Sus scrofa: one gene and its partner. The main gene of each other region encodes a partner of the protein of the gene in region 2 in a complex. Links are inferred from orthologs where the notes say so. Each region holds a gene or a part of one and is shown on either strand. Other genes may lie near its edges.

Region 1 (3,131 bases), on a different chromosome or scaffold from region 2:
ATTGCTCCATTTTCTGGAAGAGTCTGTTTTTAAAGTTAAAAAAGAGGGAAAACACAGCAAAGTTGCTAACTTTGCAGTGAAAAAAAAAATCTGTGTCCTTGACTGGTTACATTTTCATATTTTTATGCACTGTAAGTTAGCTCTGTAAAGGGGAACTTGAGTTTTATCCTTACTCATGCATGATGTATGTTTCAGAACTTAAAAGCTGACATTTCAAAGAACTTACATTACCTGTTTTAACATACTGATGTGCAACTGGAACATATTACAATGATATTACTCATTATTTGCCCCTGTGGGCTAAGTTTACTATACTGGTCTTAGATATAAAAGGTCACATTTGAATTTACTAAGTTGGAATTCATAAGGGAGGGGGAAAAGGCCTTAAATATAAAAGACAAACGGCAGTTTGATTAAGCAATAATTTTCAGTTTACTAGATGAAACAGACTTGCAACATAGTCTGCATGAATGCAAAATAAGCCATCTACAGCAAGTGATAAGGAAACTGGGCAAAAAGGAAAAAAGCATACATTGGAAAAGAAGATTCTCTCGAAATAAAAAAATCAAACCATTATTATAAAGGAATTTATCAAGAACTGCTGTATTTCCCCCATCCCATTTGCTGGAAGTCAACGAGAGTATCTAAGTACTTTGTGTTCGTGTCAAAAGTCAGCTCAGAGCATCCTAACGCAAAGCCAAAAAAAAAAAAAGAAAGAAAGAAAAAGAAAAGAAACAAAAAAGAAACCCCCTAACCCCCTCCCCCAAACCGTAGAACTGTAACTCCAAAGTTCAAATTCAAAAGAAGAGAAAGTGGCAATTCAAAGAGGTGATGGTGGCGATAATCCTATGAATGGGTTTTTGATTTCTCTCCTTCTGGGGGATGGGTGGAGAATGCTCATTAGGATTTGTAGTTAGAGGTTAACCATGTGAGCCCCTCATAGAGTCCGTCCCCCGAGGTGGCACAGGAGGGCTGCACATACCAGTTCCTGTCCCGAATCCGGGTCAGGCCCAGTTTCTCCTGGATCTCGTGGGGTTTCATGGCATCAGGCAGGTCCTGCTTGTTGGCGAAGATGAGGATTATGGCGTCCCTCATCTCCCGGTCATTGATAATGCGGTGTAGCTCCTGGCGGGCCTCGTCTATGCGGTCGCGGTCGGCGCAGTCCACTACGAAGATCAGACCCTGGGTCCCGGTGTAGTAATGCCGCCAGAGCGGCCGGATCTTGTCCTGGCCGCCCACATCCCATACGTTGAACTTGACGTTTTTGTAAGTCACCGTCTCCACGTTGAAACCCACGGTGGGGATGGTGGTCACCGACTGGCCCAGCTTCAACTTGTACAGGATGGTTGTCTTGCCGGCCGCGTCCAGGCCCAACATGAGGATTCGCATTTCCTTGTTCCCGAAGATCTTAGATAGCACCTTCCCCATCGCTTCGGAGGAACCGGGGCCGGGGGCATTCAGGTGTCCCGGGTCCCCTCCAACAACGCCGCCGCCGCCGCGAAACCGAAACGGAGCTTCCCAGTCGCGAGGGGGCCCGTGCGGCCTGCGTGGGAGTTGCCTCCTCAGGGCAGAGGCCCGGGCCCGTAGCTCACTCGGGCATCACCGACCACACAACTTGATTCCTCCCGTCGCCGCGGCCTGAGTCTGCGTTGGGAGAGCCGCCGCCCTGCTGAGGCGCGGCCCGGCCCGGAACTGCCCTTCCCCCCGCAGGCGCCGTACAAGCGCCGCCGCCGGCTCCTGCTCGGCCGCCTTCACCTCACTCCGCCGCGGGAGACTGCGGCCCTTCGGCCCGGCCTCCGGTCCGCGGAGCACCGCGCTCACCACTGACCCAGGCCACACGAGAGCAGAGCGGCTCCGGCGCCCCGTCGGGTCATTGATCCTCGCGGGAACTCGGTGCGCTGCCTGCAGAAACACAGAGAGGAAAAAGGGAGTTACTGCGGGAGCCCCAGAAGAGAGCGGAGGCCGAAGGAGCCCGCCTTTCCAGCTCAGCCCAGGAGGTTACCTCCAGCCGCCGCCCAGAGCGCGGGCTCCCTCCGGCCTCCACCGCCTCCTCCCAGTTCTACCGCCGCCGCCGCCGGAAAAGGCGCCGAGGAAACCGCCTCACTTCCCCTCCCGACGACGCAGGCGCAGCAGAGGCCGACCGTTCGGGACAAGAGCGACCTCTGTAAGGAGAGCGGCCTGCGCGCCAAGCGTCAGGGGCGCCACGCGCGGAGGGGCGGGGCTACGGCGGCTCGGAGGCTCCCAGGTGGGGCCAGCCCTGCTCCCGCGCAGCCCGGGCTCTGACCCGCGCCCACCTGTAGCTATTCTAGCGTCTTCTCCCCTCTCTGCTTTTCTCTTCCGCGCGCTCTCCTCCTCCGCCCCCATTGGAACCTGAGAAGCAGATCCACTGGGTGGGGCCCGTTGGCCGCCCGCTCTCCAGATGAAAGCCTCCCCCTGCTTTGCTTCCAGGCCTCTTCTCCGTCCTCGGCGCCTGCCAGATGCTCTGCGAGTTCTCTCTTGCCCACCCCAGGCTTCGTGTGCCCTCCATCTCCCTGTGAATCCCTATCTGCTGTTTTAAACCTTTCACCCAACTCCCTTTGGCTTTCTTTTTCCTTCGTTTTGTGCATTTCCTGAGAGACACGTGGGAGGCCAGTGGTTCCCGTGGGATTTGCCGTTCAGTGCGGCGCGTTTACTGGGTTTGGGTTTCCTCTAAAGCCCGTCTTTTGAGTGTTTGAGCCGTCAGGAGCAATCCACGTTTCTTAAAAATTACAGTATTTTCAAGACTTCCCATGCTTTTCCTTTTTAAATATCTTTTACTGTGATTAGTAGTAGTTTCTCATTCTTAATTTTCAGCAGCCTCGTCTATATAATCTTAGCGTTGGATTTAGAATAGGAAAAACTACTTCTGACGCCTGGATTCGGACATTTGACCTTATCGAGTTGATCTCATGCGTAAACTGAGTGTAATTCTGACCCCACTGTCTAGAAGCCCACTTGAGGGCTTTTATTATTATACGTATAATGTTTGTAGAAAGGGAACCCTCTTTGTATCAAATGATTAGTGATAAAGTTCAAATATGAAGAAAGCTTGAAATAAACCAAAAGGAGGAAAAACAGGAAAATAGCGTGTTTGTTTTTTTTTTTTAAAGAAT
Region 2 (4,348 bases):
TTTTATTTTATTTATGTATTTCTTTATGTATTTATTTATTTATTTTGTCTTTTTAGGGCCACACCTGCGGCACATGGAAGTTCCCAGGCTAGGGGTTGAATCAGAGTTAACAGCTGCAGCAACATGGGATCCAAACCTCATCTGTGACCTACACCATAGTTCACAGCAATGCTGGATCCTTAACCCACTGAGCGAGGCCAGGGATCAAACCTAAGTCCTCATGGATGCCAGTCAGGTTTGTTACCACTGAGCCATGATGGGAACTCCCTGAAGTGAGTTTTAAATAACAGTTTGAAAGGCTCCATGACAATGGCTTCCTCAAACATTTAAAATAGTTTTTTAAATGAAATCTTCAAATATTAAAAATAGAGCAGCACACCCCGAGTCTCATGTACACAGCCATCTCTTAATGATCCCTCTCCCTACTCATAGACTCAGAGGCATTTCTTTTGAGCTGTAGGGCTTTGGAAAACAGCCTGAAAACCCCTACCCTCAACACTTCACTAGCCATGTGCCAAGTCCAAGCAGCTTGAAAGGAGCAGGTTTAGGATGTACATTTCGAGTCCTTCGTGCCCAGGCATACACGCCTGTCCCCTGGCATTTCCCACTAGATGCTCTTACCATGGTCATACGCTACCTGTTTGTACTTCTGAGGCAGGCTCCAGCCAAAAGCCTGCACTCTACCATCTTCCTTCTGAACATGTGCCTTTACCTGACGATACTGTTCCCTCTTTTGTTCTCTGCGTGAAGCTAAACTAGCTTCAGTTCTAAAAGGAAAAGAAATTTCCTTTTTAAATTAAGCAAATTAACAGTTTATCTCCCTTCTCCTGCTAAAACAGCAGAAATAACAAGAAAAAATTATCTTTGTGTCAGACACTTTAGAGACACTATATTATTTAATCCTAACACATCTGAGATAGGTTATCATACTCGTTTTATAGGCAGAGAGACTGGGGCTCTGAGAGGTTAACATCCCCAAGTTCATATACCTAATGAGTAGCAGGATCAGGATGGGAAGTCAATTCCTTCAACACTAAAGGAAATTCAAACATTTAGGACAAAGGCTTACATGAACTTTCAAAATTCCTATTAATATTTATCAATGTTACCATACCAGCAAAAAGGAGCTTTTAAAAAATTTCTTCTCTTTATGAAAACTATGAGCAACGTAGGTAGTCAAGTTACAGGAATAGTTTATAGTTTTATCTAAACCCTTATAACTCATCTGATAAGAGGCAAAAATACTCTGAACTGTTACTATAAAAATGATTTAGGCCATAACCACTACTCTGGAAAATACTTACTCTTCGCTAAGGAAATCAAAGGCTTTGGACTTATCCCCAGGGAGTTGAGATAAGGTGCTGCTTCTTTTCTTGACTGAAGGAGTAACATGAGATGTGGGTGCATTGTATTTCAGATTAACGGGTGGTTCAGGCTTCTTAGTAGTGTTACTTGAGGAGCTGAAAAGTCGGCTGAAACTAAAAAGAAGTAAGAGAGGATTTGTTTATAATAAGTGTGTATGTAAGTGTGATGAAAAACAAACCACCATTTCCCACAAATTCCAGAGTAGCTTTCATGAGGCAATGAGTTAGAAACCAGCAAAAAAAAAAAAAAAAAAGTTTGCAGTCACACACTGCAGCCTTAGCAGTAACTCACAGCCAAACTCAGACATTCAGGAAAGAGAAACTATTGCATAGAATGGCAGATCCTTGTTCTTTAATTGGCAATTCTCATAATGAAAGGAAGATTTATTTATTTTTTGGGTTTTTTTTTTTTTTTTTTTTTTTTTTGCTTTTTGCTTTTTAGGGCCACACCTGCAGCATATGGAGGTTCCCAGGCTAGAGGCTGAACTGGAGCTACAGGTGCCTGCCTAAGCCACAGCAATACCAGATCCAAGCCGCATACACCACAGCTTGTGGCAACGCTGGATCCTTAACCCACTGAGCGAGGCCAGGGATCAAACCTGCAACCTCATGGTTCCTAGTCAGATTCGTTTCCACTGTGTCATGATGGGAACTCCAAGATGTTTCTTAAGTACAGGGAAATTCTCATAAGGAAGAAATAAAATGAAATGGTTCCTTTAGCCAGTGATTGTTAAATAGCAAGGTTATGGCTTGAACAGAAGCTTAGCAAGCCAGTTCTAAAAACAGTCATAGAACAGATATTACCATTTTAGCACACATCTTATACATTCCCTTAGTAACCTCAATTTAAATAACTATTTTCACATCCACTCAAAAAAATTTTTTTTTCAATTAAATAGCAGATTCATCAAAAGGGGGGTAAGTTTTAAGCACAGTAAATGCACAATACTTCTGGCGCAAACCGTTCAAATGCAAAACACATACACACACACACTATTCAAACCCCACAAACACTAAATTTCTAATCTTTACTTTGTAAAGTTCCTTACAATCACATAACCAGTGAATCAATAACTTATTTAATGGGGGTCCAGGAAATTATCAACTCTAAGAATAATTTTGCATTCTTTTATTAATTCAGCAGAAGGTTCCACCAAATGCATAATCAATATGATGCAGCTTACGACAGCTTTTTTTTTGGTCCTCAAGAACAGCCTTACCGAGCTGGCATACTACATACCATAAAAAAGAAAAAGTTCAGTTTAGCTATAAATTCTAAATTTAAGAAAGAAAGCATGAAAATACAAAATCATTCTTAAAAATAAATTTTGATTCTCATCTTCTTGCATCAAAGTGCTCATGTTTTATGTGTTTTTAGATACTTACAACTGCCAAATGCTTGACCTTTTTTTTTCCTGCATGGCTGGATTTTCTCTTGATGCTCTACAAGGAAAGGGAAAGGGAAAAGGAGAGAGACAGGGAAAGGGAAAAGAAGAGGGAGAAAAGGGAAAGATGTGTTATTAGTGAGTCGTTCTAGCTTTCTATCTGAAGAACAAGGGACCCAAGAAATTCAGGAAATATACGGAGTTTATTTCAAGTTTATTACAAGTTCAGTAAGTAGTTACTTTGACATATCATGTTATCAGTCAGCCAGCTAAGGCCAATACAACTAATATAAATAAAATACCATCTCTCCCTCAAAGAGCTCAGACTACTGATGGAGGCAAGATTGCTATCGGTGCTAGACAGATAGCCAACAAGCCTAAATGTCAAGTTAACCTAAAAGTTATCTTCCAACTTTCTCTTTGATCAAAATATTGCCTTGTACATTCCTATCTCTACATAAAGGTGTCATTTGTCTTATACTTTCAAATTTCAAAAACTAGCTTACAACCTTACCATTCTGATGGGTCATTTTCACAGGACTAAAACTTTAACATCATGGAAAAGTTGAGCACGGAAGAAAAGAAACTAGACTGACAGACAATTCAACAAAATTTCAAAAAGGAAGAAAAGGCATTTCAAACTGATTTATTAGTAAGGTTGCATGGATTCTGCTATCACTATCAGATGCACAGCCCCCTTTTCACTTTTTTTTGTTTGTTTTGGTTTTTTTATTTTATCTGTTTTTGTTTTGTTTTGTTTTGTTGCTTTTTAGGGCTGCACTAGCAGCATATAAAAGTTTCCAGGCTAGGGGTCAAATCAGAGCTGTAGCTGCCAGCTTACATCATAGCCACAGCTAGGCAGGATCTCAGCAGCGTCTGCAATCTACACCACAGCTCATGGCAACGCCTTAGCCCACTGAACAAGGCCAGGGGATAGAACCCGAATCTACACAGATACTAGTCTGATTCATTACCACTGAGCCAAGATGATAACTCCTCTCCCTTTGTTTAAGATTAAATTTAAAACATCTTTTAATTCAATGGAGAAAGTTTAAATTTACTTTTATTTGCACTTGTTGACTACCATTTGGCTTCTAGAATTAAAATTAGTAATGAAAAGTAGAGCCTGCCCATATGCCTCCGTTTAAGAAATATTTACTCATTATTTAGCTAATAACCATTAAAAGGCTGGTGTTAAGAACATACTTATCAGTACATTAATTTCTTTGTGCAACAAATAAAGATTACGATATTCATCCTCTTTCTTAGCAACTATAAGCAATTACCATTTTTACAAATTGTAAATGTGCCATACAAAATGTTTTGTTCATTATTGTTGAGCAAGTAAAAGAATATCATTAGGAAGTTCAAGCTGGTGGTTAGAAAATATGTTCATATACTTTAAAACAATGTGTCAGTGTGTACTGCTTACTGATTAACGTGATGTGACAATCTGAACTCAAAAATATGGGCAAATTAGGGGGCAACTAGTTTATAAACTTTTCATGAGCTCTTTCTAAAATTAAAGTAAGGAATGCTATTACTGAGGATATGACCATTAGATGGCAGCATTAGATGAGATTTAAGCTCCAACTGACA

What was found. Proteins that work in one complex are often made in the same cells at the same time.
Region 1: the proteins of SPAG9 (region 2) and ARF6 are in contact, whole or in part, in a crystal structure (PDB 2W83), measured with the Homo sapiens proteins. The link is inferred for Sus scrofa from reciprocal best matches to the Homo sapiens genes SPAG9 and ARF6. Residues at the interface, in NP_001124000.1 of Homo sapiens: Lys431, Asn432, Ile435, Val438, Asp439, Thr442, Cys443, Asp446, Val447, Gln449; in NP_001654.1 of Homo sapiens: Glu13, Arg15, Lys34, Phe47, Val49, Glu50, Thr51, Thr53, Lys58, Asn60, Trp62, His76, Tyr77, Thr79.

What each region holds. Positions count from the first base shown.
Region 1 is NC_010443.5:179,712,334-179,715,464, reverse strand, and holds ARF6 (ADP-ribosylation factor 6), read right to left. Parts: upstream 1,429-3,131; coding exon 901-1,428; downstream 1-900. UniProt on the Homo sapiens protein: GTP-binding protein involved in protein trafficking that regulates endocytic recycling and cytoskeleton remodeling. GTP-bound form plays an important role in the transport of multiple palmitoylated proteins form the Golgi to the plasma membrane.
Region 2 is NC_010454.4:27,251,446-27,255,793, forward strand, and holds part of SPAG9 (C-Jun-amino-terminal kinase-interacting protein 4), read right to left. Parts: intron 2,808-4,348; coding exon 2,751-2,807; intron 2,597-2,750; coding exon 2,585-2,596; intron 1,479-2,584; coding exon 1,305-1,478; intron 768-1,304; coding exon 638-767; intron 1-637. UniProt on the Homo sapiens protein: The JNK-interacting protein (JIP) group of scaffold proteins selectively mediates JNK signaling by aggregating specific components of the MAPK cascade to form a functional JNK signaling module.